4 linked regions of the Rhinolophus ferrumequinum genome follow. The protein of the gene in region 2 interacts with the protein of the main gene of each other region in a pairwise test. Links are inferred from orthologs where the notes say so. Each region holds a gene or a part of one and is shown on either strand. Other genes may lie near its edges. The genes, in order: ACTG1, EHHADH, SSNA1 and TRIM41.

Region 1 (7,898 bases), on a different chromosome or scaffold from region 2:
GGGATGTGCCTGCCGGGTGAGCTGTGGCCTGGCAGGCACTCTGCTTCTGGTTTTGGCCACGTGCTGCGGTGAAGGGCTGTGTCTGTGAAACAGCTGGAAGCCCGGATTCCTGGGTTTAATCCTCCTTTCCCATTGCAATCTGTGAACATGGTTCACTGAGAGTGAGGACGATGCAGAGGGGGACATTGTCAGTCTCCAGGCAGTGGTGTCACCTGTCTGCAGAGCCCCAGGGAAGCGTGGCCTGGGGGGTGCCCTCAGAAGCAGAGTGAGGACCTGCGCCCATTGCTGCCACTGCTCCTAGAAGTCTTGGGTGTGGCACACAGTGTCACTGAGCGAGTGCCTCTGAATTGTCACCAAACATTGAATGCCTGTGGATGTCAAGGCTGAAGGCCTGGGAAACCTCAGCAGTGAGGCCTGGGGGCGAAGGTTGGCTGGGCCACCCGATGGCCTCCTGTCCCCAGACCTGCGGTCCAGCATAGGAGGGCCACCATCCTCTGCACCCTTCTCGTCACTCGCCCATCTTCTTTGCAGAAGCTGAGGCACAGGGGGCCACAAGTGGCCCAGGGCCGAGCCCAGCCCAGACCCAGCTCCCCACTTCCAGTCCAGTGCTCTTCCAGGGGCCTCCTGGGTTCCTGCCGCACCATAGTGGGAACTGGGGAACCCCAGAGCAATTCCAGTGGGGCCTGTCTTCAAAAGGCCTGGAGTTCTCCATTGCTGAGGCAGCAGGCAGAAGAGGGGCTCAAGGGCCCTTGATCTAGGTGTCTCTATGTCTCTATGTGGGTGCACTGTGAGCCTTGGTTTACCTGTCTGTGAAGTGGCATAGTTGTGGTGCCTCCTCAGGCAGTGAGAACTGGATGGCACGAGGAGGCCTGGCCCGGAGCATCCCGGCACAGGACAAATGGCAGCCATGAGCACACAGCTCCAAACTCCACCCACAGTGGCGGGAGTGACCATACAGAATGTAGTCTGAATACTTCACAGGGCTTGGGGATGGGCACAGACCTCCGGGTGTGCCCCTGGACAGCTGGACCGCCTGTGCTGGTCTGCAGCGCTGGAGAACAAGGCCCAGCTGGGCACCAGACCAGACACAGAAGTGTGTGGCCCTGACCTTGGCCTGTGATATGAAACTCAGAGGCAGGCAGGAACCTGGCCTTGCCTTCCAGGGCAGCCCTTGGGGACCCCTGTTCCAGATAGAGCCACTCCCAGGGCTGCCGCTGCCTCATGGGAACCCGTCCAGTGCACTGGAGCGGGATTTAGGTGACACAACAACCATCTTGCATTTGATCTGTCCACAGGCTGAGAAGAATAGGCAGTAAGCTGAGGGCAGGTAAACTGGTTTTCTTTGGAATCTTTAAAAAAAGTTCTTATTATGAGATAATTTAGAGTTACAGAAAAGTTGCAAGGACATGAGTATTCCTGCAGCCTCTCCACCCAGTTTCCTCACTGTTAACATCTGTCATGGTACAGCTGTCCTACAAGATTGACCTTGGTATTTAGTATTCATTAAACTCTAGACTTCACTTGTATTGCACCAGTTCTTCCACCACCAGCCATTTTTGTTCCAGGATCCACCCCAGGACCCCATTGTCATACGTGGAGAAAGAAGGAAAGGCATTCCTGGCAAGTGGAATGGCACAGGCTAAGGCCAGGGGCAGGGACTCATTGCCAAGTTCCCTACCCCGTCTGCCTGACGAGTGGGAGGCAGAGGGTTTAGGGGGTGAGGGTGTGTAAGGGTGTGCTGCGGGCCACACTACCAGGTGCAGAGGTGACCGAGATCTTGGAGAATGTCCCCGTAGGCAGAAGCAGGGAGATGGCAGGCAATGTGAATCAGAGGGAGGAAGACTCGGGCAGGACCCCGAGCTGGGTTTGGGGCTGTCTCAGCAGGGCCACAGTTCCGTGCAAGGTGGCGCTACGCTACCTCCCTGCTCAGCAGTTTTCTCAGCCATGAAATGAGACCCAGGGAGGTCACAATAAATCCACCAAAGGCAGCAGCGCTGGGCCAGGAAAAAAGTCACATATTTCTTTCTCTGTGGCCCAAGTCTCCATCCTCCAGATGGGAGGGACACACCCACTTCTGGGCAGAAGGGCAATTGCTGACTCTCCCTCCTCTCCAGGGACTCCCTGATCATGGAGTCCGGGATGCCACATCCGCTCCTTCTTCTCCCAGGAAGGTCTGGCCCTCTCCAGCCTCAGGAGGGGTGGGGGCGGCCCTGAGTTTCCAAGAGCACAGTCCAGAGGTGACCTTGGGCAAGCCTCGAGTTGCCCAGTTGCAAAACAGAAAAATCTCGGTGCAGAGTGTGGTCCTCGCGCCAGGCTGGGAGACCTGGTTCTACCTGGGGCCTGCGCCCACCGCATCCACTCACTCCTGGTTTCCGGTGGTGCTTCCCAGGCGGCAGGCACCCCTCTCCTACCAAGCCAGGCATCCACCTCTGCATAATCCCACTCCCTGCGACCACTAGACCTCGGGGGCCGCAGGCACCCACACCCCCTATTTTCGCGGTTCGGTCTGGCACCGAGCAGCGGAGCCTCTGGGAGGCGTGGAGGGCCGGGGGTGGGGTGGGGAGCGACCGCCACCACCCCACTCCCTGCTCCCTCCGAGACGCCGGGGCCGCCCCGCCACCGCCCCTTTGTTTCGCTGGCCAATCGACGGCCTCCTTGACTAAATAAGGCGAGGAGCGCGCCCGGCGCCCCCCGTCCGTTACTTCCGCCTCCCTCCCGGCCGGTGACTCAGGCCCGGCGGCGGGCGGGGATGGGACTGCCTGGGACGCGGTTTCCCCGGCGGCTCCGAAATCGCCAAATATGGCCGCGCCGCGCGCCGCCGCGCCCCGCCCGCACACCTGCGGCCGCACCTTGACTCCCCCCGCCGGTGACACAGCGGCGGAAGAGGAAATAGCTCCTCCCCCCCGCATCCCAGTTCCTGCGGGTGGGGGGGATGGTGGACTATGGAGGGGGAACCCCGAGAATCCCGGGGTTCCTGGGCCCCGCCCCATTTCCCCCTGCGACCCTTTAGCGGTGCACCCGGCGTCCTGGCGACTGCAAGGTGGGGAAGAAGGAACTTGGAGGGGGGCAGAGATCTATAATCCTCTGTTTTCTCCACTGTCAGTAGAAGCAGCCCGGGCCAACCGGGTTCTCGGCACACACCAGACAAAGGAGAGCTAGGAGTGGGGCGGGGAGCAGGCGCCCCGGGGTGCCCCATTGAAGGCGAAGGGGCCTGAGTAGAATGTGGGACGGGTGGACACACAGCAAGGAAACCTTAGATAATTCCCCACCTCCTCTATGTCCTGTGTGTGACATCTTGGGACCCCCCTCCCCATGGATCAGTCTCCTCGCATCGCTGACTCCCATCTGGGGGGCTGAGCAGTCGTGGTTGTGCCCACCGCGCTAGTAAGGGTGGGTTTTCTGGAGGCCCAACCCCGGGGTTCTCCAATGGGTGGGGCATGCACCTGACCTGGAAAGCCCGGGGAGTCGGTGACCCAGCTAGGCCTGATGGCCATAGGCAAGGCCTTGGCGTCTGGGGGACTGCAGCGCACAGGTGAGCTGGGCGGCTGCTTTCGCTAGATGTGGTCACCAGCTGAACTTGCAGGGCTCCTAGGGCATGTGGCCCTGACCCCCAACCGTCAGACACCTGCCCGGAGCCAAACTGAGTGCCTGTGGCAATGATCGAGTCCTTTCAGTCTGCGCAGCGCCACTGCCACCCCTCTTGACCAGTGCTCTCCCTCATGCCTCCTCTGGTGTTGACACTGAGCCGTTCCAAAAGTTACAAATAAGCCCGAGGAAAGCACAGTACCTGCTTCCCCTCCGGGCATAGCCAAAGCACTGGCACCAGCAGGTGCTGCCAGGCCGATGTCAGGTCTTCCATCGCAGGCTCCTGGGGAAAGGGCACGCCCTGGACCCAGGAGAACCCACAGCCCCAGGCAGCCGGGGGCCAGAGCCAGGGGGCAGGGACACAGCGCGGTCGGCCTGTTTCCAGGAATCAGCAAACCCATCACAGCCCTGACCCGTCTCTAGTATCAACAGAGAGGGTCCCCTTCAAGTCTAGCGGGGAGTCAACCGTTCAGGCAATCAGGAATTCCCTTCCCTGCCTCAGTTTCCCTATAATGCCCACAAGTGGTTAGAAGGAAACAAAGCCCCATTCCCTCCCCAGCGGATGGGGGTAGGTTGCCCCACATCCGGAGTGAAGCCGGCGCCTGAACAATCAGGGCTGCGGTTTGAGGAGCAGGATGTGCCCTGAATGAGTAGAACCGGGCCTGTTTGCACCGCCAGGGACTCTAAGCAGGGCGCCCCCTTCTCTGGCGGAGGGGCCTGCGCAGTCGTAGCTGCCGTGTGGGACCAGGGGGCGAGGTCACGGCTCCCCGGGGTGCCCCAACACCAGAGTGACACATGGCGGTCGGCGGAGACCCTCACCCGACCCTCCCCCAGCCCGGCACCGGACCCGGGAATCGCCTTCGCGGCCAGCCTTTCTGCTGAGCCTGGGGAGGAGGCTCGCAGGGGTCGCGAGGGATGCACAGCCCCCCAGCGGGGCCGGGTCGCAGCGACACACCCCGACTTCGGGCGCGGCCCAGCCCCGGGCCAGGCAGTTTCGGGGTGAAGCCGGGCCCTCCCCCCACGACGCGCGGCAGTCCCGGGGCGGGGCCGGCCGGTCGGCCCCGCGGTCCTCTCCGCGATTCTCTCGCAACCCCTGAGGGCACTCGCCCGCCCCGCCCGCATGCTATTAGGTGCGGGGTCTCGGGCGCGGGGTCTCGGAAGCAGGGCGGGTGCAGGCGGGGCCGTTGGAGGCGGCGCGGGCGGGGGGCGGGGCCGGGCGCGGGGCCCCACGTGTCCCGGCCGAGCAGGCCAATGGGCGCCCGGCGTTCGGAAAGATCGCCATATATGGACATGTTCTGGGGCCGCGCGCGCCACCGCCCCGCGCGCGCGCCCCGCTTCGCTTAAATAGCGGCGGGGGAGGCCGCGGTCGGTCTCACTCGCTGCAGCCAGCGTCCGTTTGTAGTTCTCTCGTTGCTCCGCTGTCCGTTTCTCCGCGCCCCGCGACCGCCGCTTCCACCGGTAAGTGGCCTGGCCTTCGTGCCCCGGTCCCAGTCCGACCCCGTGCACCCTTTTTGTAGGTTCGTTTCCGGTCGGAGAAGCCCGGCGCGCCGCTGTCGCGAACAAAGGGTGGTCGGGGCGGACGGGTGGGCTGGGACGGAGCTGGTGCGGCGGGTGGGGGGGAGCAGGGCGGGGCCGGGCCGCAGTGCGGAGAGCCCCCAGCCGCGCCGCCGCGGAGGATTGTGGGGGGCGTCGAGAGGCCCGCCCGGTTCCAGACGGGGGCGGCGACCTCGGGGTGGGGGCAGGTGCAGCATCTGCTCGGAGACGGTCTCCAGGGGCTGTTTCTTGAGCACCAGGGCCCGTCTAAACTCGTGGCATCTTTACTCAGATCGCAATGGAAGAAGAAATCGCTGCGCTCGTCATCGACAATGGCTCTGGCATGTGCAAAGCTGGCTTTGCTGGCGATGACGCCCCCCGGGCCGTCTTCCCATCCATCGTGGGGCGCCCCCGACATCAGGGCGTCATGGTGGGCATGGGGCAGAAGGATAGCTACGTGGGCGACGAGGCCCAGAGCAAGCGAGGCATCCTGACCCTCAAGTACCCCATCGAACATGGCATTGTCACCAACTGGGACGACATGGAGAAGATCTGGCACCACACTTTCTACAATGAGCTGCGTGTGGCCCCAGAGGAGCACCCTGTGCTGCTGACCGAGGCCCCCCTGAACCCTAAGGCCAACCGGGAGAAGATGACTCAGGTAAGGGCTGCCCTGAGTCTCCTGCCCTCCCCTCCTTTTCACAAGTCATTTTCTGTTCAGCTTCGTTTTCTGAAATTCAAGTATTTCTTTCAATATTTCCAGGGTTCTGTTCCTCTCCTGGCATTTCCTCCCTGAAGTCTCAAGGTTTCTTATTTGTGTTTTTGCCTGCTTCCTTTTCTTTTCTCCACACATCACATTTGTGGCATGCTGGCATGCAGTGTGTGAGCATGGGGGGCCCGGGTCCCCGCCTATGACTAAGGAGCCCATTGCCTCTCGTCCAGATCATGTTCGAGACCTTCAACACTCCAGCCATGTACGTGGCCATCCAGGCTGTGCTGTCCCTGTACGCCTCTGGCCGCACCACTGGTATTGTTATGGACTCTGGGGACGGGGTCACCCACACCGTGCCCATCTACGAGGGGTACGCCCTCCCCCACGCCATCCTGCGTCTGGACCTGGCTGGCCGGGACCTGACCGACTACCTCATGAAGATCCTCACGGAGCGTGGCTACAGCTTCACCACCACAGCTGAGCGGGAAATCGTGCGTGACATCAAGGAGAAGCTGTGCTATGTCGCCCTGGACTTTGAGCAGGAGATGGCCACCGCTGCGTCGTCGTCCTCCTTGGAGAAGAGCTACGAGCTGCCGGACGGGCAGGTGATCACCATTGGCAACGAGCGGTTCCGGTGTCCAGAGGCGCTCTTCCAGCCCTCCTTCCTGGGTAGGTGTCAGGAGCTCCGCTTGAGGCTGCTCAGAGGCCTGCACTGTCTGCCCTTCACCTTGAAAGGGAGGCACGAGTGCTAAGGGAGAGCTTTGTCTCCTAGGTATGGAGTCCTGTGGCATCCACGAGACCACATTCAACTCCATCATGAAGTGTGATGTCGACATCCGAAAGGACCTGTACGCCAACACGGTGCTGTCTGGTGGGACCACCATGTACCCCGGCATCGCCGACAGGATGCAGAAGGAGATCACGGCCCTGGCCCCCAGCACCATGAAGATCAAGGTGAGTCAAGTGTAGCTGTGGCTTGGGCTGGGGGGCCTTGTTGGGAAGGCAGTGCCACGAGCTAAAGCCACGCTCTTGTCTCCCCAGATCATTGCCCCGCCGGAGCGCAAGTACTCGGTGTGGATCGGCGGCTCCATCCTGGCCTCGCTGTCCACGTTCCAGCAGATGTGGATCAGCAAGCAGGAGTACGACGAGTCGGGCCCCTCCATCGTGCACCGCAAGTGCTTCTAGGCGGACTGCGAGCGCATGCGCAGCGTCTGCTGCAGGAGTTGCCGGAAGTCTGTTTGCCCTGGCAGACGTGCTAGCCTCATGAAACTGGAATAAGCCTTCGAAAAGAAATTGTCCTTGAAGCTTGTATCTGATGTCAGCACTGGACTGTAGACCTGGTTGCTGATTTTGACCTTGTATTCAAGTTAACTGTTCCCTTGGTACATGTTTAATACCCTGTGCATATCTTTGATTTAAACCCCTAGTGCACGCGGCTCGGTCACTTGCTGGCTGAAGCGAGGACATGTTTATGCGAGAGAAGCCCAGTGGCTTGGTGATCTGCGAGACCATGCGTTTCTGGATCTGTGCAGGGTATTAATGTGCAGAGACGCCTATTCCAGGATTTCTCCAGAGGCTGGCAAGAGTCCTGAAGCAGTTGTCATTTCTGTCCTGCCGGTCTGACGGGGGTTGGGAAGGTCCGAGCATTAGGACCCCTTTTCTTTTCTTAGCTGATGTTTTCCTGCCAGAACACGTGGGTTGTTACTTCCCCTGAGTTGGAAAACGGTTTGCATTTACACCTGTAAATTTATTCATCCTTTTAATTTATGTAAGGTTTTTTTTGTACGCAATTCTCAATTCTTGAAGAGATGACAACAAATTTTGGTTTTCTACTGTCATGTGAGAATATTAGGCCCCAGCAACACGTCATTGTGAGGAAAATAAAGTGCTGCAGTAAACTGCCGGCTGCTGCTGCTGTTGTTGGGGGAGGGGTGGCCAGACCTGCCTGGGAGGGATTTGGGGGAGGGAGGGACAGATGTCCTCTGCTCAATTGGGCAACAGTTGGGTTTCTCCCAAACCTGCAGTGTGATTAGCATTTTTAGAACAAGGAGCCCCAGTGAACCGGGTG
Region 2 (7,848 bases):
CTGAGTACAATGTCTGTTCTTTAACATATAGCGTGGGAAAAAGAATATTAATACAAATGAAAAAAACCAGCAAACTTCTAAAAAAGCCAGATTGGTCAGACGAGCAACTCTGAGTTAAAACCTGACGGAATAAGGGAGATACTTGCCCTTGTATACGATAATCCCCTTTCACCTTGTTACTTTTCATCAGTTAAACTAGATGAAATCAAACAAAACCTCTTGTCTTCGACTGGTTAATTAGAAATACACTGGTTAACAAAAAACAGATTCTGAACCATCCATAATACTGAGAAGTCCAAAAGGCACATATTTCCTTTTGGGTAAAAATTAGCCAAAATGAGCTTAATCAGTGCCACTGAGGAGAAGAGGGTGGTTTATCCCATTTCATCCAACCCCTACTCTATTTCTTATGTTCTTGTTAATTTTGTCAAAATCAAATACAGGACATAAAGAAAAATGAAAATGGCTGTAATAGATACAACTTTACTAGATTCAAGTCTAGTGAAAGGGACCACAGCCTGGTAGCAATGTCAAGGTCACAGAGGTTAAGAAATTGTTTTGTCCTCTTAATATTGTCAGGTATGAAGGAATGGAGTTTAGAATAAAGATAACAGTTAAAGAGTGCTGACCAAAACTCTTTAGCTTCTGTGACTATATGGTTTTTGTGACAGTTTTTATTTTTAAACTGAATGCCATCAAATGAAGTTTGTGGCTTGTGACCAGCATTTTTTAAAACAAAGAAATAGAAAAGAGGAGAAAATAGAATATATCGAACTATATAACACGTAAAGATAAGTTTTGTTTTGTGAAACTTAGCTTTCGGTTATATATTTGTATGTGTGTGTGTTTAGGTTGCTTTGTAAAACATGTGGTTTCCATGTGAAATGACAATAAAAAAAAGTGTGAAAGCCATTGAGTTGAGAGATAGGCCTAGGAATCAGGCATGTCCTACACTTGTAAAGAGGGTTAGCATTCATCTGAATTGAAGGAAACATGACTTGCTAAACTAGCAAAGGATTTAAATTATGTGTTTGGGCCCAAAAATTCTTCAGATAAGAATCTCTTAGTGATCTAGGAAGAGATAATTTTCCACATAAAATTAGAAACAGTACAAGGAAAAGGAAGGAAGAAAGGAGGAGAAAAAGTACAAAGAAAAAAAAAATCGGGAACCTGTTAAATTGAATGAACGTGCTGGGATGTACACCTCTACCTAAAACAGAACTTCAGAAGCAGATAGAAAAAAGGGCAGGAAAGTATTTATTCCCAAGTGGGGGAAATTGTAATAAATCTGAAATGAATCCTGAGCAGCAGAGCCCGTGGTAGGGGCTTGTAACAGGCCTCTGCTTAACAGAAATAATGATAGCTAACAGCTATTAAATGCCAGTTTATAATCTCTAGCATTTAAACTTCACAACAACTTTTATGAGGCAGATAGTAACATTTCTCCTGCAAGGTCAGTGGAGGGTGGATTAAATACTATAAACTTTAAAAAATAATTATAAGAAAATATCCCTAGTTATGGGTATTAGAGTGTAGAACATCCCCCCTCAAGTTCCTGATGGACATGGTTTCCCATTATGGGCAGAGGTTGAGGCAGACGGTCCTAATATCTAATAATTCTAATGAGAATATAGACACGTCCAAAATGGGTATGTAATTATATTACTTATGTTTTTCTTCATCAAAATCAAAATAACGAATATTTTACTTTTTTCTGAGAATGGCAAGTAAATGATCATCCTTGTGTGATTTTATTTCTGCAATTCTTTTGTATTATTCAATGTAATAATTCGTATTAAAAATGAGAATTATAATATTAATACAAATGATAAAATCAAATCGGATGATAGGATAAAAATTCAGTTAAAATTAGTTAAAATTAGCAGGTCTCATTTCGCCTTTTTTTTTTTTCCTCCAGCAGCATGTGATAGTAAGAATTTTAACCAAAGGTCTTTCTCTCTATACTGTATATATTCATCGTAAATTACAACTTCTACTAATTTTCCTCCCTGTGGATGGGTGGCTCTTTCCTAGGTTGATCGATCATATACTTTTTTCAGAGATATGGGATGACCAAATCTATATAATAACTTCATTAATTTTCAAAAAGCAGCATTAATCTCAGTTTTAAAAGTAATGCTGTAAGTGCATTGTACAAATCTGGGGTAAGAGAGTTTAACAAGAAAGGTATTCCACGGTGAAATAAAAGATAAAGTGCACAGTTTTTCAGAAAATGGTATTTAATAATCTTACTCTTACTCTTACTCTTCTACTGAAGCACTAAGGCCTTGAGGTTTAAACAGATCAGGAGATACGACTGCATTTTCTGGGCCCGGGCTCAATTCTCTTTTCCTCACTGCGTTGGCAATGAGGACCTTTACTGATTTTTTAAAATGTGAAGCCACACGGTCAGATTTCTAAAGCTTTCAGTCACACATGTAAGGGTTGCCTGGGCTCCAGGTTGAGAAATGAGGGATCAAGGTCCAGCCAGCATTGCACTAAGACCTTTGGAACACAAAGTGGGCCACATAAGTCAAAGTTGCAAGCAAGCAGAAGGGTTCAGCACGAAGTTGGCATGCGCAGACCCGGTTCGAGTCCAGCTCCCCCGCTTCGTAGCCATCTGTCTGCCTCTCAGCCTTGGTTTCCTCCCCAGCGAAATGGGCATGAAAGTTCTCTGCGACGATTCACCAAGCTGACCTATGTAAAAGGCCCTGGCAAACGCCATCGTTCAATTTGAGTCAGTGTCTTTCTCCGTTTAAACCAGGAGGGGAGAGTCAAAGCCTCCTGAGCAAGCAGGCGGGGAAGGCCCCGCTGTCCCCAGGCTGGAGGCGACCGAGCCCGTTACCTGATCGCGTTGACCGGCGGGTTTCGGAGGCGAATCAGCGCCAGAGAGTTCTGTAACCGCGTATACTCGGCCATGTTTCCCGGGTCGCTGAAGTCGCCTCCGCCAGCCGCCGCAGGGCGATGCCACTTTTCCTTGCGCACCGGTCCAGCCCCGCGAGGAGGGGCGCCCGCGGGGCCAATGGGAGCCCAGCGCCGCCTCCCGCCTCCCGGCCGCCCCCCCCCCCCCCCCCCCCGCACCGACGCGCACACTACGTCGCCGCCCTCCTGCTCCCCCTGACCCCAGCTCCGCGTCTGCAAAAGTTCGTCGTCTCTTTCTTTTTTTTTTTTTTTAATTTATTTTTAATTTATTGGGGGTGACAATTGTTAGTAGAATTACATAGATTTCAGTTGTGCAATTCTGTATCACATCATCCATAAATCACACTGTGTGTTCACCACCCAGAGTCAGCTCCCCTTCCATCACCGTACATTTGATCCCTCTTTCTATTTATTGGCTCCCTACCTGCTCCCATCACAAAGCAGATCTAGGAGGACAGTGGAAAATGGGTGGAATTGCCAGCAAGTGGAGGTTTGCAAACCCGATTTCTCTGGGCAAATTCTGAGTTCACTAAGTTGTGGAGCTGTCCTTATCACAATTTTCATCTTCATGATCCTTAACAGGGACCGATATATGGGGTCCTGACAATTACGTGATATGACACAAACCTGGAATATTAAATCCATGCATCATGCATTTCACCTAAATGTTCACCTACTGACATGAACTGAGTATTTACAGAACAGTCGTATGGCAACCTAGTGAAACCTGAGTTTCTTTTCTGCCCAGTCCTCATATTTCTTCTTCTGCCATTCCTTAGGCTTGTGACTTCTAATACTGCATTCATTCATGAATTGTGCACCTATTATGGGCCAGGTCTAGGCAGGTGACTAAAGATAAACAAGGCTCAAACCCTTTTCTCTAAAAGTTCAGGTTGGACTTTTAGATGTGATTGGCTTCTGGTGGTCTCCACAGTCTGCGAAGTGGTCCGAGGGCAGTCTGGAAGTTTCAGAGGAAAAGAACAACGGAATGAGTTTGTTCACTGGTGTTCCACAAATTTTAACAATGATTAAGGACTATTTTCATAGATATTCTTTCACTTCTTGGAATTCAAAACAGGCTCCAGCTCCTGTGAAAATGCCAATTGCCTTGAAGCCCTGGAAACAAGTAGCAGTCAGAAGGGATCCAATCTGTCAAAGACAGACCTCACTTGTACCAGTCACAAACAGCCCAGTGCCAATGCCTCTGGGTGCCAACAACCAGCTTCTTACAGGTCATATCAATCTTTAATGCCTCTGCAGGTTCGCCAGTCCCTGAACTCTACCTTGCCCAGAACCTCGATGTAAGATCAGCAGTTTGCTTTGCTCAGAGAGCCTGTGCATGACCTGCAGAGCTTTCCCTTATTATAGGAAGCAGTAAATTAAACTTTGTCTTCTTATTTCAGACATTGGTCTCTAGGAGAAGAACTCTGCCGTGGCATGCTAGCAAGTTTGAATGCCTCCACAAAGGCTGTGTAGGCAAGGCATAACAGCTCTGAATGGCCGGAAACTCTTCCTGGAGCAAGGGGACATCAGGAGGACGTGGAGCCATTTTGAGGCAATTTTTCATCTTTACCTTGGAGGAGTCAGACACACATCATTTCTCATCTATCTCCTAGTTTCAGTTGAACACAGAACTTTCTGCTTTGAGTCCCTCCACCCCCATCCCTTAGATACAGCTGCAAACTTCCATCAAATTTAAAATTTAAGAGGGCACTTACTCTCAGATTTCTGCAAGTGGTGACCCTGCCCTGCTTCTCAACAACAGAGCAACTTGGTTCCTGTCATCCTTCATCCAGCACTTTCTGTTTGGTGTCATCCTGTGGGACTAGGAACACAGGGAGCTGATACCACGCTGACCTTTCTTTTGCTGTCTATGTAAATAATAAAGTGTCTAAATTTATTTTGGGCTCCTATGGGCCAAATCTGAATGTGGCGAGCCAATTTAGCAGATGGCACCATGCTGCTTCTTGCAGACTGCTTGACCATTGATCGTTGCTTGATGATTGTGATGAATTGTTATATGCTTAAATTGTCTTCTCATTCAATTTGTCTCAGTAAGTGCTACTTAACTGGATGCCATTCCTCTTGGCTAAGGCACTTCCACATCATTTGCATGTTACTGCTTTTGCTTGTTAAATATGCTTTTGTCATTGTTGTCATTATGTTGCAGTTCACGAAAATAGATCAGTGGATCAGAAGTGGTTCATTAAAGATCTCAGGAAAAATAAAAGAATGTAAATATTAAAATTTATGTGCTTACTGTGTACTCACAGGAAGAACAGAGATGCCTACCTAAACTTGGCTTTCCCTGCATGGGTGACCTGTAAGCCCTGGAAACTGACAGGGTATTGTGTTGTGAAACTTCATTTCACAGTGGCATAAGTCCATCAGAGCTGAAATCTCTGGTAAACCAATCAGGTTTATCCAGAACAAATGCAAAATATTGCTTTCCACCTGGAGTGATAAAATCTCACATGTGCTCTTCCCTGTCCTTTCCCCTTTTAATGTGGGATACAAATGGACCGCAGGCCCCAGGGGAAGACAGAGCCAGAGATAGAAGCCTGACCGCCCTAACAACTTTGAGGAGAGAGGTACCCCATTGACTGGAACCAACATGGACTGCTACAGGAGAAAGAAAGAAATGTAGGTCTGTTTGTTAAAACATTTCAACTTGTCCTGACTAAAACAGTGAAGCAATGAGCAGTGAGTACACTCTTGAACAGGGAAGTTGGCTGATGCTTAAGAAAAGCTGCCCACGCAAGTGTTGAAATAAAAGGTGAGATATAAATATTTTCTTCACTATACCAGTAATATCAGTAAATGACCATTTCTAGCATTTCAAGTGGCTTGCTCAAGTGTTGAGCCTTGGAGAGACACACACTCGTGTACACACACATATATTTAGTATCATAATGATGAAGATTAACCAGCTATCAGGATTCCTAAAGAAAACCCAACTGTGGTGAAAATGATGCAGTCATTATCTTCACTGATTGAAATAAGTCCTTAGGACTTTCAACTCCCTGATTCTACTTTTATTCTCAGAAATAATTACTCCCTGGGTCTACTTTTGTTATACGTTAAGTCTCCCATTAATAAAATTATTTTTCAGCAAATATTCAAAGATGTTAACAAATTCTGTCTTAAGTCTGTTCCTTTTCAGGCCCTTTCTCAGGAACTATCATTTCTCATATGATAAGGTATCCCTAGTTCTTCACGCTGTTGGTTGTTCGGGGCATTCTTCGTATTTGTCAGTGGCCCTATAAGTAGCACCTATTCTCTGGATTCTGCACCTGTCATCAGTCAGGTCATATTCATGTTTCCCTAACTCATATTTACTCTTTATTTCTTATCCATAAAGATATTTCTTTCCTTTCACTTTTTTAAAAGGATAATTAATTTTTATTGATATAGCTCACATACTATACAAATCATCCTTTTAAAGTGTACAATTCAGTGATTTTTAATGTCACAAAGTTGTGTACCATTACCACACTCTAATTCCAGAACATTTTAATCACCCCAACAGAAGCCCTGTACCTACAATTCCCCTTTCTTCTTATCCCCTAGCAACTACTAATCTACTCTAACAGAGACACTAATCTGTCTCTACTGATTTGCCTATTCTGGATATTTCATATAAATAGAATCACACAATATGTGGCCTTTTGTGTCTGGTTTCTTTCACTAAGCATAATATTTTTAAGATTCATACATGTTGTAGCATGTATCAGTACTTCATTCCTTTTTATTACTGAATAATATAGTTCATTGTATGTACATACCACATTTTGTTTATTCATTCATCGGTTGATGGGTATTTGGGCTGTTTCTACTTTTTGACTCATGTGAATATACTGCTATGAACATTTCATGTATGTGTTTTTGTGTAAAGTATGTTTTAAATTCTCTTGGGTACATACCTAGAAGTAGAATTGCTCGCTCATATGGCAGTTCTGTTTAACATTTTGAGGAACTGCCATATTGTTTGATGTACAATCCATATAGCAATGTATAAGGTTTTCAACTTCACATTCTCGTCAATACTTCTTGTCCATTTTTATTATTATTATTATTATTATTAGGCTAGTTGTTCTTAAATACGAGTTATATTGTATTTTTCTTTATCACCAAGCATGGTCTTCTCCCTTTGTGAGTGAATACACATTTAGAATCTGTCTGGCTTACGAAAGCCACTAAGTAAAAATAGTCATATTATTAGCCATTATTAGTCTTATGTTCCCTTGAGATGAATCAAATTGAATTGTGTCTTTTCTCTAGCATTATATTTCCATCTGCTTTGAATAGCAAACAGGATTCAAACTAATAGACCATTCATTGCTAAGGTCAAAATAAAATAGGTTGGCATAACTCAGACCTCCATTAATAGAATCATCAAATATTCTAGCATCTGTTATTTATTTCCAGATTGCCCCATCAAAGTGCCTTGATTTTAAGCCTGGAGATTATGTGGACATGATTATAGCTTTCAGAAATCTGAAGTAAAAGGAAAGGGGCCAGAAGACTAAAGATGGGCAAATGTTTTGATTTGTGAATAGGCAAAGAGATGATAAAAGATGTTGTAGACTGGTGAGTTTTAAATCAATACCTTATGAAATTTTAGAATAATTCATTAAGGAGATGGTTTGTGAAAAGGAAGTTGTGATCATCAAAGATATATTGTGCTCACTAAGAACACGATATGCCAAATTCATTTTATTTCAGTTTTTGAGAGGATTAATACATTGGAAGTTAAAATAAATGTTGTATAGCAATTCCTAGGGAGATTTAACAAGGTTAGATAATGGAATCCTTGTAAATATGATGTGGGCTATTTGATAACTGTTTTATGAATAAGTATTTAACCAATCATATTTTGAGCTGTTGTGTGTGCTAGCCACTGCTAAAGCAGCATGAGCAAAAAGA
Region 3 (5,563 bases), on a different chromosome or scaffold from region 2:
GGAAGCTTGTATTCTGGGTGTAACGGGCAGCCGCCCTCTCCCAACAGGACACAGGCAGCAAACTGGCATGTACCTTTACAAAGACAACTTTTACTGACAGTCACAGGCCACCAGAGTGAGCCCTGAGGTGAAGGAGGGCCCCAGCCCCTCCGCCACTTGCCTGGCCTGGGCACCTGCCGGCAGAGGGAAAACATAAGGGGATTCCCATGATGCTGAGGCCAGAAGCAGGGCCTTCCCACAACCTGGGGAGATGTGGGGGCTTGAGAGCGGCCCCACGCGGAGCTGACCCAGAGCCCACCCTCCCTGTTGCCCGTGTGAGTGCATGGCTAGTACCCCCACCTGGTGGGCTGCGCCCAAGGGCAGTGGAGGTTGGCAGCTGCCTCTCTCGGCACGCAAGACGGTGAGAGAAAGCAGTTGCTGTCGTGAAGGACAAAGATGCTTTGAAGACAGACTTGCTGGGGGCCAAGCCATCGGTGGGCGCAGTGGAGGCAAGCCTCCCCTCCTGGGCCTCGTCAGCTGTCCTTTCCTCCACTGCTCTTCTGCTCTGAGGCTGTGGCCTTGCTCAAGTTCCCAGCTTCCTTCTTCAGAACACTAAGTAGAGTCTGTGAGCTCTCCAAGATCTGGGAACAGACACGAAATGGTTGTCACTGTCCCTCCTGTCAGAAGCACCCATAGCCCAGCGAAGAGGAAGCCCGAGGGGACAGGCGGATAGGGTCGGCAGGGCCTTTTTTCCCTCTGAGTCTAGCCCAAAGCCCCTTCCTCACTCCCTGGAAAGTCAGGTTAACTCTGGCCCCTGCTGCTGCCGCTCGGCTGCTCAGTCTGGAAGAAACCACAGGGTGGGTACTGAGTATGGTGCAAAGAACAACCGGGGACACACCAAGTCACTCCATGACGGGCCTGGCCGTGCCACAGTCCTGTCACTTCTGTTTGTGGGCATGGCAGACAGGTCCGCAAGCTGTCCCGAGCCTCACCTTGAGATAGGCTGCCTCGGTCTCTGCGATGGTCTGATCAAATTCATTTCGAGAGGCGATCTTGCGTGCCAGGTTCTCATTGACGCGGGCCAGTTTCTCAGTCAGCTGCCTCACCTCATTCTGCAGCCGCTGCTTCTCATCTTCTTCCTGCTGGATCTGCCGGCACAACTCCTCCCGCTTCTGGCACAGCTCCTCGATGCCTAGGGTGGGCGGACGGGGGCAGGGCTGTGGGCACAGGGCAGGCAGGAGAGCACCATCCCATCTACTCTGAATCCCAGTGCTTTGTAGGACAGAAAGGTGGTAGAGAGACCAGGTGCCGGCCGGGGCTCCCAGGGGTCTCAGGTTAAAGGCGGCACCACTGGAGGCCACCGGGCGCTGGGCCTGGAGGCAGTGCGAGCTCAAGCGATTCCTCAGTCCACAGATACCTAGCACCTGGTGCGTGGCACACCAGGAGCTAGGTATTGTGCGCTGGGCAGCTCCGAACCGCCTGCGCGCCGTCCGGGCCGGGCCACCCTCGCAGCCACAGGACAACTAACTTGGCCGTGTGCTGCGGGCCACCTACTGCCGGGGCCTGCAAGCCGGCGACCCCACGCCCTCCCCGCCTGCCCGGCAGGCCCCGCCGCGCGGCCGCTCACACTTGACCAGCTCGTTGTTGTAGTTCTGCATCGCCGCGCCCTGCTGGGTCATGGTCGCCGGCCACTCCAACCGCCGCTCCTGCAACGCCGCCCGCGCCTGCGCACTGCCTCTCAACAGCGCGCGCATCGAGTACGTCATCTCCGCGCGCCTGCCGTTCGCCTCACCGCTGCGCGCGCGCGAGCCTAGCTGTGCGTCATCAGCGCGCGCGGCGCCGAGCGGCTCTGGATGCTGGTGGGTGCTGATGGCGGCGGCGGAGCGCCCCGGGCCGACACAGCAGCTGCTGGCGGCCTGGAATACCGTGAGCACCGGGCTGGTGCCGCCGGCCGCGCTGGGACTGGTGAGGCCCGGGGGAGGGCGGCGGGCCTGCGCGGCGTTCCCCGGACCGGCGCGCTGCATGAGGGCGTGCACCCCGACCCAGCATCCGAGCGCCGCCGAGGAGGGGCAGCGGAGTTTCCGCAGCGGCCCCTGCGCCCTGTCCCTTCCCCACCTCTGCCACCTCTACGCTGTGTCCCCTGTTCCTCACGGTTTTCTGCATTCCAGGCATCCTCCCGGACCAGCGGTGCGGTCCCTCCCAAGGAAGAGGAGCTGCGGGCGGCGGTGGAGGTTCTGAAGGGCCACGGCCTGCACTCGGTCCTGGAGGAGTGGTTCGTGGAGGTGCTGCAGAACGATTTGCAGGCCAACATCTCCCTCGAGTTCTGGAATGCCGTCTCCCAGCGGGAGAACTGTGCCGACGAGCCCCAGTGCCTTCTGCTGCTCCTCGACGCTTTCGGCCTGCTGGAGAGCCGCCTGGACCCCTACCTGCGTAGCCTGGAGCTCCTGGAGAAATGGACTCGCCTGGGCTTGCTGATGGGCGCCGGCGCCCAGGGGCTGCGGGAGAAGGTCCACACCACGTTGCGGGGCGTGCTGTTCTTCTCCACCCCCAGAAGCTTTCAGGAGATGGTCCAGCGCCTCTATGGGCGCTTCTTGAGAGTCTACTTGCAGAGTAAGAGGAAAGGGGAAGGGGGCACAGACCCGGAACTGGAGGGGGACTTGGACAGCAGGTATGCCCGCCGCCGGTACTACCGGCTTCTGCAGAGCCCAGTGTGTGCGGGGTGCGGCAGTGACAAGCAGCAGTGCTGGTGCCGCCAGGCCCTGGAGCAGTTCCATCAGCTCAGCCAGGTCCTGTGAGTACTCGCGCCCGGGCCAGGCCCGTTCTTCTGATTCCCGCTTGCACCCCTGGGCCCTGCTGGCCTCTGCAGAGAGCTGGTGAGCTAGTTGGGGTCTCTGCCACCTGTCCTGGTCGCCATGGACATGACAGGGAGGGTCCACAAGAGCCTTGCGCTGTAACACCTTTTGTCCTGAACACAGGCGTGTCTGTCTGTGACTCAAGTTAGCCCAAGGTTTCACACTTTTTCACTAAGATCCTGTGTGATTCCAAGGTTCTTGGGCCGTGCAGAATTCAACTGTGCCTTTTATAGGCTGTGGGGGAGCAGTGGTGCTCACCCTGTCCTGTAATTGCAGAAGGTGGGCTTGTTATTTCTTCTTTTTGGGAACAAGTTGGAGATAAGGCTGGCATGCTGGGCAAGCAGACACCTCCCTTTGAAGAGGAAAGGATTCTGTTGTTAGAGCCATGCCTTGTTGTACTGGCTCTCCACCTTCTGTGGCCACTACGACAGTTTTATCACGTTGAGAAAAGTGCCAACAGTGCAGCTGTTAGGGAGAGGGTCTTGTTCCTGGACCTAGGAAGTGGTCCTGTTGCTGGTAGGGATCAGGGAGGCCCCAAATGATGTCTGCTGGGTTCGCCCCAGATGAGAGTCACACACAAGCATTCTTTCACGTTTCCTATCTTGAGTCCCTTTGCCATTGTAAGCCAGGGTTGGCCCTGAGCGGCACCAACCATGGCATGTGTACACATGTGGCCAGGTGGCAATGTGTGTAGTTGTTGTTTCCGAGCCATTTCTGGGAGATGAGACTGGCCCCTGAATCGTACATGCTGCTCACATGGGCAAGGTCAGCGTCCCAGCCCATGCAGAAAGGCCAGCTGGGGAGGATGGTCAGGGCCTTGCCAGTGCTGTTTCCTCCCAGTAGCTCTTCCTCAAAGCCCTGTGTACCATGTGCCTCCACCAGGAGGGCCATGGGAGGTGTGTGCTGGGTGTGGGGGTGGTGTGTGCAGCCCATGCGCTGTGCACGTTCCATGGGCAGGGCTCTCCTCCAGACACAGGCTCAGTCTGCTGGAGCGGGTCAGTGCTGAGGCCGTGACCACCACCCTGCACCAGGTGACCCGGGAGCGGATGGAGGACCGCTGCCGGGGCGAGTACGAGCGCTCCTTCCTGCGTGAGTTCCACAAGGTGAGTTCCACATGGCCCCCTCTTGGTTTGTGTCCCGTTAGGACTGGGGAATAGGTTTCTGGCAAACCTGACACCCTGGCTTTAGAAGTAGCCCGAACGTGGAGGCCAGGTGAGCCAGGACCTCACGGGTGGTTGAAGCTGTCTTACTGCTGGGTGGAGGCTGGTCCCTGTGGGCCTTTTTATCCCCCCCCCCCCCCCACCCCCCCCCCCCAGCGACAACCAGGAAGAGCTTGCGACGTGCGCAGCAAGGCCTGTATAGAATCACGTGGCTGGAGGCAGTGAGGGGCCTCAGGGCACCCATGCTATTGGGGCGTGGTCTGGGTTCTGCTCTGAACTCCTCAGAGTCACGGAGGACCTGGCCCAAACCATGGGGTGCCGACCAGCTTGGAGTCTGCCTCCTTAGGGTACAGGTTAGCTGCCATGGGGGCGTAGAGCTGTCCCACAGCAGTGGTCTGGAGTGGGCGTGGGCCTGGAAGCGTGATGGGGTAGCCCCAAGGCTGCAGAGTGTCGGGTGGTCTTCTCGGTGGTTGGACAGTCTGCTGGGGGGACGTGTGCATCCCCGAGAGCACGTGGCAGTATGTCTTGTAGACGTACATGATGTGCTCAGAAATGTTCTCGCTGGATGCTGCATTGTCTGCATGTAGGGGCTGGTCGTGTATGCAGTCCCCAGGGTGTGTCTGTCCTCAGGGGGGCTGAGAATGTGCTCCGTGCGCTAGGTCAGGGCCACTGTCGCACGTGGAAGGGCGTGGGGGGCATTGGTGGAGGGCCTGACATGCCCCTTTTGACCATCATCCTGCTAATGTGATTCTGGCTTCTAGAGCAGGTGGCCCTGGGGACTCCCCAGGGCCCGGCCAGCAGGGTGGTAGCTGTGCCGCCTCGCCCAGCCTCTGCTCTGGGTCGCTCTGGGTCAGTCTGGGCTCGGCCCCACCTGCCACTCCTGTGCTCTCCCACAGTGGATCGAGAGGGTGGTCGGCTGGCTGGGCAAGGTGTTCCTGCAGGATGGCCCCGCCAGGCCCGCGTCCCCTGAGGCCGGCAGCACGCTGCGGCGCTGGCGTTGCCACGTGCAGAAATTCTTCTACCGCGTGTACGCTGGACTGCGAATCGAAGAGCTCTTCAGTGTCATCCGAGGTCGGCCCCGCTGCCTGGAGCAGAGCTTCCAACCCCACCCCCCGCCCCCAGCAGGGCAGCTGTCAGGGGGTCCGAGCCCTCTCACGTCCCTACTCTGGATGGCCTGTGTGCCCCATAGGGCACTTGTGGTCAAATGTGTGGGTACATGAAGGCCTGAGGGCAACAGCGCTCACCCTTCAGGCCCCGCTGCCTCTGGGCTCCCTGGCAGGCGACATGAGGTGCATGCCACATGTGCGTGAGCGTGTGCAAGACCGGCCCTCTTCCCGCAGACTTCCCGGACTCCCGGCCAGCCGTTGAGGACCTCAAGTACTGCCTGGAGAGGACCGACCAGCGGCAGCAGCTGCTCGCGTCTCTCAAGGCCGCCCTGGAGACGCGGCTCCTCCACCCAGGTCCTGCAGCCGACCGCCGTCCACCCTCAGGGCCCAGGGCCAGGAGCCGGCCCTGGGGAAGGGGTTAAGAAGCAGTTTTGTGCAGTCCTTACAGGGCTGGGGGCCTCCACTT
Region 4 (7,777 bases), on a different chromosome or scaffold from region 2:
TACAAAATACTGTGCCAAGCTGGTGTTAGTTAATGTACGTACAATGTACGTATCTGAAAGGAATAAAGTATCTGACTGTAAAATAGCCTATAAGTTAGAAAGAGAATCACTCAAATTAGTTCTATATAATAAAGCTTATGTATTTACATTTGCTGATCAGTCAGTGTCGGATTATTTGTGTCTATGTGACCTCCGATTGGACTGGCATTCAACAGATGTGGCTAACACAAATTAAAATCCCGTTTCAGAAGCTCTTTGAAAGAGTCCCGTTGGGGGAGCGTGAAGGAGTGGGATGCCCATGGATACTCCACCCTGGGATCGAGTTAACAAAGTGACTGCACATTGTTTAATGGGTACAGTTAACTAGGAACTGAGAGGATATTAAAGGGAAGGGCAAAAGGAGCTCATAATCTCCCCTAATAATGAAGGGCAATATTTCCAATGCACTGAGTCCCATACTAGGCTGGGCTTTCTAAAGATATTCTCTCCATCACTGATTCAGAATCTCTAGTGGTAGGGTCTACTGTAGTTTTGAAAACCTCCATGAGTAATTCAGACAATCAGCGGAGTTTGACAATCATTGTCTAGTCAATTTGTCACGAGGGGATGTAGATGTCTTAGCTATAGCACTTATTCGATAGATCAGAGGCTCTAGGCGTGTTTCTCTAAAATCGGGGTAATGATAATACCTAAATGAGGTTATTGTAGGAATCAGGAGAAGGTATGAAAACCCAAGTATGAAAACAGAAGTTACAAAACAAAAAAGCTCTACACCAACCACAAGGAAGCTACTCTCTCCTGTTCCTGGTCCCACTACTTCGCTAAGCATTGCTATTAGAGCTGGCTGTCTCAGGGCCAGATCTCCTTTATCTATGTCCAAAAAAGTCAGGATCAGAAGTAGGGGGCAAGATATTAACCAAAGTAGAATCTGTCTCCAAGAAGTTACACGTCAAAAAAGTCAAACTAACAGACATCTAAAGAGTGGTGTCGTTAACAGTATTGGAGGTGTCATAACAGTGTGTGAGGGGGGTGTCATAACTAGTAGGTGTGCGGCCTGTGTATATTACTTAAATCTCTCTCTACTTCCCGGTCTGTGAAATGGGAATAGAAACCATATCAAACTCACAGGATTGCTCTTTCTTTTAAATAAGATAGTCTATGAAAAGTGCTTAGTACAATGCCTGAGGTACACAGTATATTTCAGTAAATACTAACTTTTAATCATGGACAAATTAAAGTTCAAAGACATTCAGGGACTTGCCCAAGTGAATAGGTGCAGAGCCAGAACTTATGATTTAAAAGTCTCTCCCTTTTTTCTCAATTCCCAGGAAGGTCAGAAGTTCTGGCCAGCACATCTGAATGACACAGATCCAACAAAAGTCCTCAGGGAGTGAACCAAGCCACATTACAAGGTAGGGAACCCAAAAGTAGGCAAATGCAGAGCATTTGGGTCTACACTAGGAGTCATTACTACGCTCCTGCTCCTCAGAGCCCTTTCTTGTTCTTTGAGATCCCAAGTTCTTCCCATCTCTAGGGTCTCAGTCAAAGGCTTAAGATTCACCAAAAGGAAAATGAGACCAGTGGTAAAGCCCTAAGGGCCTGTCACCTGCACTCCTACACTTAGGGACATTGGGACGTGTGAAACAGCAGTGGCTTTCCCCCAGGAGAAACACAGTCCAGTGACATGGCATTGCCAGCTTTGCACAATTTCCTTTGAGAAAGCCAATCTTTCCTGGTCTTCTCTGTGTCTGCTTTGTCTGTGTACAGGATCCTTCTCACTCTAACCCACGTTGGTGCCAATAAGTGCTTAGATAAGGAGAATCAGCTCACTAGAACATGATGCTCTTTGGAGGGAGACATTTCCTTTTCCCAGCTCCTCTTCCTTCCTCTCCTCCCCCACAAAATTCCCATCTTCTAGTTCTCTCACCTTGTACTCCTGCACCACCTCCTCCAGTGGCACCACGCTGTGCTGTTTGTGGCTCCTGGATTCTCGGCACACCACACAGATGGCCTCTTCGTCCACCTCGCAGAAGAGCTTCAGGGCTTCTTGGTGTTTGGGACAAACGCCCTGCTCATTCCCACGGCTCCCCCGACTAGGGGCTGGGTGCATCTGCCGAATCACCTGAACCATGTTGGCCAGCTGCAGGTTGGGGCGGAAGCTCCGCCTGGGAAAGCTCTTCCGGCACTGGGGGCAGGTGAAGCACCTCCGAGGGGCCGGAGGCGGAGGCAGCGGCGTGGTGGGGTCTAGATCCTCTTCGTCGTCCTCCTCCAGCACTTCTTCCTCGTCCTCCTCGTCCTCCCCCCTCAGGTCCTCCTCCATGTCCAAGTAGTAGTCCAGGTCTTCCTCCTCGTCTTCCTCCTCCCACACGTAGTCCATGTTGTCCCAGTTGGATTCGCCCATGCCACCGGTCCAGAATACATCCTCCTCTTCCTCCTCGACCTCTTCCTCCAAGTCGCCCTCATAGTCTTCATCCCTCATGGGGGTGTCCCACCCCCCACCGGCCCCCACAGCCTCCACTTCCTCTTCTTCGCCGTCCTCCTCCTCCTCCTCCTCCCGGTCTAACTCGTCCCTGTCCTCATCCTCCCCTCCCCATAACTGGGTTACACACACTCGGCAGAAGTTGTGCCCGCACCCGATGGACACGGGGTCCGTGAAGTAATCCAGGCAGATGGCGCACACCGCCTCCTCCTGAAGGGTCTGCACAGGGTTGGGTGCCATGGCAACGGCAGCCATCTTAGTCTCCAGTCAGCTAGTGTAGGTGGTTGGTGGGGGTAGGGGCGGGGGCTCTTCCCTCAGACGCCCTGGCGACCCGGCCCCACCCCCAGCCCTGCCTCTTCACACCTTGCCTTAAGCGCAGCCTGAGAAATGTCCTCCCGACAACCCACCCCTCCACGGTTTCCCACTCCCAGACGACAATCGTGTCTCTGCCAGGGGAGGGGACAGAGCTGAGCGCTACCGCCAAGTCCCTCAGGTGGCCCTGAGTGCAAATCTGCCCCAACGCTCTCTTGGCCTCCTCATAAACCCCCGCCCCTCCTCACTTCCTGGCTCCGCCCCTTTACTTCCGGCCTCCTTCCCAACACTTCCGGCGCCTACGAATTACGCAAGCTCCCGCCTTCCCTCCACGGTCGCGCTAACGCCCCCTTTCCGCCCCGGGCCCACGAACGACAGGAAACGGCGAGGAGACGCTCTAGCACACACTCGGGAACAGGACAGGAGGGCTAGAATGATAATGGCCCACTTCTCTGTGGTGCGGGTCAGCGGGGAACGCAGATGAAACAGAAGGACCAGCCCCCCCCGTCCCCCACCACCGGGGATAAACTTTGGGAGACAGTGGAAGCCCTTGCGATCGTCCGCTCTCGGTGCTATGACCGCATCGGCCCGGCGCCATCCTACCGCCCGGACCCGGACCACTGCAGCAGGGATTCCCCACAGCCGATGCCGGAAGCGGAGGGGCGGGTCCGGGTGAGCACCGTAAAGTATTTCCGGCCCTTCTAGGCGGAGGACTTTGTTGTTTGAGGACTCGGAACGTCCCTCGGAGACGATCGGGGGAGGGGCCTGAAGAAGTGTGGTGGAGTGGGACCGGAGATCCTCCCCTTCCTCCGCACTGTAGTTGACATTTCCACACCTATTTCAGGAACTGCCGTCCGGTCAGTGTCTCATTATTTAGAAGAACTTTCCTAACTGCACATCAGTAAAGGGATACTGACAAGTTATTGCATGCACATTCACAGTGGAACACGCTTTAGCTGTAAAAAGGAATCCTTTTCAAGCTGTGTTATTAAGTGAAAAAAGCACGGTACTGAACAGTGTGTTGAGTATACTACCATCTGTTTAAAGAGAATGAGAGGATGTTAAGTGTATTTGATGTTTCTGTAATCCTGAGTTTACTCATATAAAATAAGGGTAATAGTTCCTATCTCAGAAGGTTTTGTGAAATTAGAGTTAATATTATGCAAAGCGATCAGAATGTTGCTTAGCACATAGATAGAAGGTTCAGCTACCCATTATGATCGTCGCGGTCATCTGTCTCCGGCAGAATACTATACCGTAGGAGCAGAGGGTCCCTGGGAAGGCTGAGGGTCCGTGATAGAAAGGACACTTTTTCGTATATGATATTCTATATCTTTTGAATTTTGAACCAAATCAGCGTTACTTAAAGGAAAAAAAAAACTTTCTAAATGCCATAATTCAACACTTCTAGAGTTGTGTACTACGCCTGCTCCGCGAAGAAAATACCTCGAGATCTGTTTTCTTGGGTTCCCTAAGAGTAGGGGCTCAGACTTTGTTTGTGGTATTAAATTTACTTGAGAGAATCGTATCCGGGATGTAGATAGAAGTTTATTAGTAAAGACTTGTGCGATAGAAATAATACTTAATGCTTTTTAAAAATATGTCCTTTCATTTAAAAAAAAAAAACTGGCGGGGGAAGTTATAGGGTCGTAATTCTTGTTCAGAATCCCCAGTGAGTGCTGGCGCTGTGTGATGCCAGGGCTGGGCACACAGAATTTGCCCCCTGCCTCGTGGGGAAACTCCAAGTGGACCTGTGCTTTCTAGGGGTGTGGTGCCAAAACTTCGTGGGTGAACTATAGTAGACTATTCCAGGAGCTGCGGCGAAGTGCGGCACAGTTCAGCGGGCCAGCGCAAGGAGCCCACAGTCCCGCTGCAACAGGGTTCGGTCAGCCTCGCCATTCCGAACTATGTGTAGATTCAGGGTGGTGTCGGTCAAGCTCTAGGAGCAACGGTTTCCGTAGTGTAGTGGTTATCACGTTCGCCTCACACGCGAAAGGTCCCCGGTTCGAAACCGGGCGGAAACAAGCTTTTTGGTCTAGTTTTCAGTTCTTTGGTCACTTCCTCATCCCACCATCCGGTGAAGTGGTCCTCACAAGGAGGGAAGGGCGTGTGTGTCTCGGTATCTGTTTCCGGGAATCAGATGGAGAAGCGGGAGGGCAGCAGAGCCGCGCTCACAGCAGACCCTTCATAAGTATTGGCAATGTAAACGCAGTCTTGAACCGCAGCTAATCTTTTGATCTTCCCCTCAAATTCCTCTCGGCCATCTTTCCCACCTCGATGGGCCTAGTGAGTAGGACAAAGCAGGCGCACAGCGGGCGCTCCGTAATACTTGTACAGTCAGTCGTTTCTTAAAGTGTGCCCACATTACTGTATATGAATCTTTGTCTCAGACAGAATAGAAGGATTCAGAGAGTTGCCCGGCTAGCTCAGTCGGTAGAGCATGAGACTCTTAATCTCAGGGTCGTGGGTTCGAGCCCCACGTTGGGCGGTGGTCATTTTGAGAAATGAACTTTTGATACAAAGGCATCTCCTGTGCTCTTCCTTCCTTTGGTTAAGGAAGGTGTCAGAGCTAGACAGGTGATTGCCAATAGCTGAACTATAGTACCCCTTGTTGGAATGCACCCAGCCCTAGGGCAGGAATGAGGGGAACAAATTCCTGCCATTGCACTTGCTAAAATCCACCTACTACTGCCCACTGATGAGGCGTCTTCTGTTTACCTGATGACCCTCCCGGGTGTCCCGACGAGTTGCACTGGACACGTAGCTTCCCAAAGCTGTGATGGGACTGCAAATCCATCCTGAACGTTCGTGAGCGTCCAAACCGTAGCTCTGATATGGTAGCACCTTAGTGTAGGTAGAAGTCAGGATTCTGCGCTCTCACCGCCACCGCCTGATTCTGATGTTGGGTAAAGAAAGAAGTGTCTTTTGGTGTGCGACCCTCATCTTCAGTGTGTTTTCTTTATGCTCGATTTTTAAGCCGTCGATCTTTTGCAAAATGTTGCCCCACACATTCCAGCCTTTGCATTCCCCCCACACATAAAGGATGTAACAGGAACATCCTCAGTTTACCGATCTTGTCATGAAATTTTCCCTTAACTTCAGTTGAAATTCATTCCTCTTATTGATTGTTTCTTTAGTCCTAAAAATTCAGCCCATTTTCTATTTTCCAGCTGGAGAATTCTCCCCACATACACAGCAGACCCTAAGAGAATTCTGCTGATCATATAAAGCTGGTTTATTAACCTTGCTAAGCTAGCATTGCCTTCAGTCTCAGAAGTGTGTCGAAGCAAGGGAGTTCTGAGAAATTGGTCAGAGTCTGTAAAATAGACAGAATTGCTAATTCAGTCCTGGCTCATGTGTCTCTGGGGAGTTACTGTCGTCAAGGTCTTATCTTGGACCATATGGGTCTAAACAAGCTGGTGTTGGAAGAGTGTGAACTTTGACATTTCGTCTTGCACAAATGCTTGTGGATTTGTTTGCAAATTGTGGTTTCAGGGTTTGTTTGTTTTTTTCCCCCCACCATCGTGACTGGGAAACATTGCCAAAAAAGTGCTGCTTTCTCATTAAAGGGAAAACAAAGTGGACAGACTTCTCTTCCCTTTCTCCCAACAAACTGAGGGCTCCCGGGAGCTTTTTGCTACAATTCCTGCTTTTCTCTCCTCCACAGATGCCACCGCAGCCTCGCCCGCCAGGCTCTCGGTTTGAAATCCCCCTCCGAGTAAGTGACCTACACTGCTCTTGGCATAGAGGAGTCAATGTCATCAGTTCAGATGTTCAGCAAAAGCATGGGACCCTGGTAAGATCTTTGGTCTCTATCAAGAGTGGTAATGAAAGGCCGCAGAAGCAAAGGGACTCGCTCTCATTTCTATTTTAGAGAGATCCTTCAGAAATGATGAGCAGGAGGTGTGAGGGAAGGGAGGCTGTGTCAGGGAGAGGGGCTGGAAGGGCAGATGTAGTCCAGACAAAAGGTGGCTGGTGCAGGGGTGAGGCAGCAGCCGGTGAAGGAGCTGGATGCATGGTTCGTACCCTCACCAGGAGAGGGGCTCCCAGGTTTCTGCTTTAGATGAGAGGAGAAAGAAGTAAATAGTAAATGGAAAATTCCACAAATAAATAATTCATAAGTTTTAAATTGTTCGCCATTCTGACTAGCATGATGAAATCTCATGCCATCTCAATCCCTCCAACCCAGGACATGAATCGTCCCTTTATCCAGGGTATCCATGCTGTATATGCTCGTTAGTCAGTTAGTAGCCATCTGGATTACCAGACTGCATGGTGGGGTATCTCAGTGCTTGTGTTCAAGTCTCCTTTATTTTACTTAATAATGGCCCCAAAGGGCAAGAGTAGTGATGCTGGCAATTCAGATATGCCACAGAGAAGATGTAAAGTGCTTCCTTTAAGTGAAAAGGTATGTATGTATAGGAAAAAAGAAACATATATGGGATTTGGTACTATTCCTGGTTTCAGGCATCCACTTAGGGTCTTGGAACATACCCCCCCTTGGATAAGGGGGGACTACTGTAATGAGTTCAATCTGTTAGAGGTTATGAGATGTCTAAAAGGACATGGCCAAGACACATGAATCAGAAGTTTGGGCAGAGCCGTCATTGCTGGAGCCATAGATGTGGGGATAGAAGTTGTCAAGCTGTAGATAAAGGAGAAGTTGGAAGAGAAAGAAAGCCAGCAACCAACATTCCACAGAGGCCAAGGAAGTCGAAATGTATAAAAAGGGGGAGAAAGATTGGTAGAATCAAAGTATGGTCTAATAAGGGAAAGCGGTAAAACATCCATGGGTTGGGCCACCTACAAGTCCCTGGTAACCTTGAACTAGACTTGGACAAGAGGACCTCCAGCTCTGGCTCTCTGGTGGAGAGGGGCTCCCAGGTCACAGACATGTCAAGGGTCCTTTGGTAGGACTCAGCCTCGGTTCCAATTCCTGGCTCCGTAGGTCTACAGGAATCAGCGTTGGCAATGGAAAAACATTTT

What was found.
Region 1: the proteins of EHHADH (region 2) and ACTG1 interact in binary tests that used the Homo sapiens proteins (3 or more experiments, as listed by UniProt). The two-hybrid records come from large-scale screens. The link is inferred for Rhinolophus ferrumequinum from reciprocal best matches to the Homo sapiens genes EHHADH and ACTG1.
Region 3: the proteins of EHHADH (region 2) and SSNA1 interact in binary tests that used the Homo sapiens proteins (3 or more experiments, as listed by UniProt). The two-hybrid records come from large-scale screens. The link is inferred for Rhinolophus ferrumequinum from reciprocal best matches to the Homo sapiens genes EHHADH and SSNA1.
Region 4: the proteins of EHHADH (region 2) and TRIM41 interact in binary tests that used the Homo sapiens proteins (3 or more experiments, as listed by UniProt). The two-hybrid records come from large-scale screens. The link is inferred for Rhinolophus ferrumequinum from reciprocal best matches to the Homo sapiens genes EHHADH and TRIM41.

The regions. Positions count from the first base shown.
Region 1 is NC_046304.1:54,455,610-54,463,507, reverse strand, and holds ACTG1 (actin, cytoplasmic 2), read left to right. Parts: upstream 1-4,884; 5' UTR 4,885-5,043; intron 5,044-5,410; 5' UTR 5,411-5,416; coding exon 5,417-5,779; intron 5,780-6,060; coding exon 6,061-6,499; intron 6,500-6,602; coding exon 6,603-6,784; intron 6,785-6,871; coding exon 6,872-7,015; 3' UTR 7,016-7,733; downstream 7,734-7,898. UniProt on the Homo sapiens protein: Actins are highly conserved proteins that are involved in various types of cell motility and are ubiquitously expressed in all eukaryotic cells.
Region 2 is NC_046285.1:60,045,356-60,053,203, reverse strand, and holds the start of EHHADH (peroxisomal bifunctional enzyme), read right to left. Parts: upstream 3,001-7,848; 5' UTR 2,920-3,000; coding exon 2,846-2,919; intron 1-2,845. UniProt on the Homo sapiens protein: Peroxisomal trifunctional enzyme possessing 2-enoyl-CoA hydratase, 3-hydroxyacyl-CoA dehydrogenase, and delta 3, delta 2-enoyl-CoA isomerase activities. Catalyzes two of the four reactions of the long chain fatty acids peroxisomal beta-oxidation pathway.
Region 3 is NC_046295.1:83,294,236-83,299,798, reverse strand, and holds SSNA1 (microtubule nucleation factor SSNA1), read right to left. Parts: upstream 1,659-5,563; coding exon 1,607-1,658; intron 1,172-1,606; coding exon 972-1,171; intron 621-971; coding exon 513-620; downstream 1-512. Other genes in the region: ANAPC2 (anaphase-promoting complex subunit 2), read left to right, coding at 1,657-1,944, 2,148-2,770, 3,802-3,934, 4,888-5,062, 5,332-5,451. UniProt on the Homo sapiens protein: Microtubule-binding protein which stabilizes dynamic microtubules by slowing growth and shrinkage at both plus and minus ends and serves as a sensor of microtubule damage, protecting microtubules from the microtubule-severing enzyme SPAST.
Region 4 is NC_046307.1:4,182,997-4,190,773, reverse strand, and holds the start of TRIM41 (E3 ubiquitin-protein ligase TRIM41), read right to left. Parts: upstream 3,016-7,777; 5' UTR 2,735-3,015; coding exon 1,928-2,734; intron 1-1,927.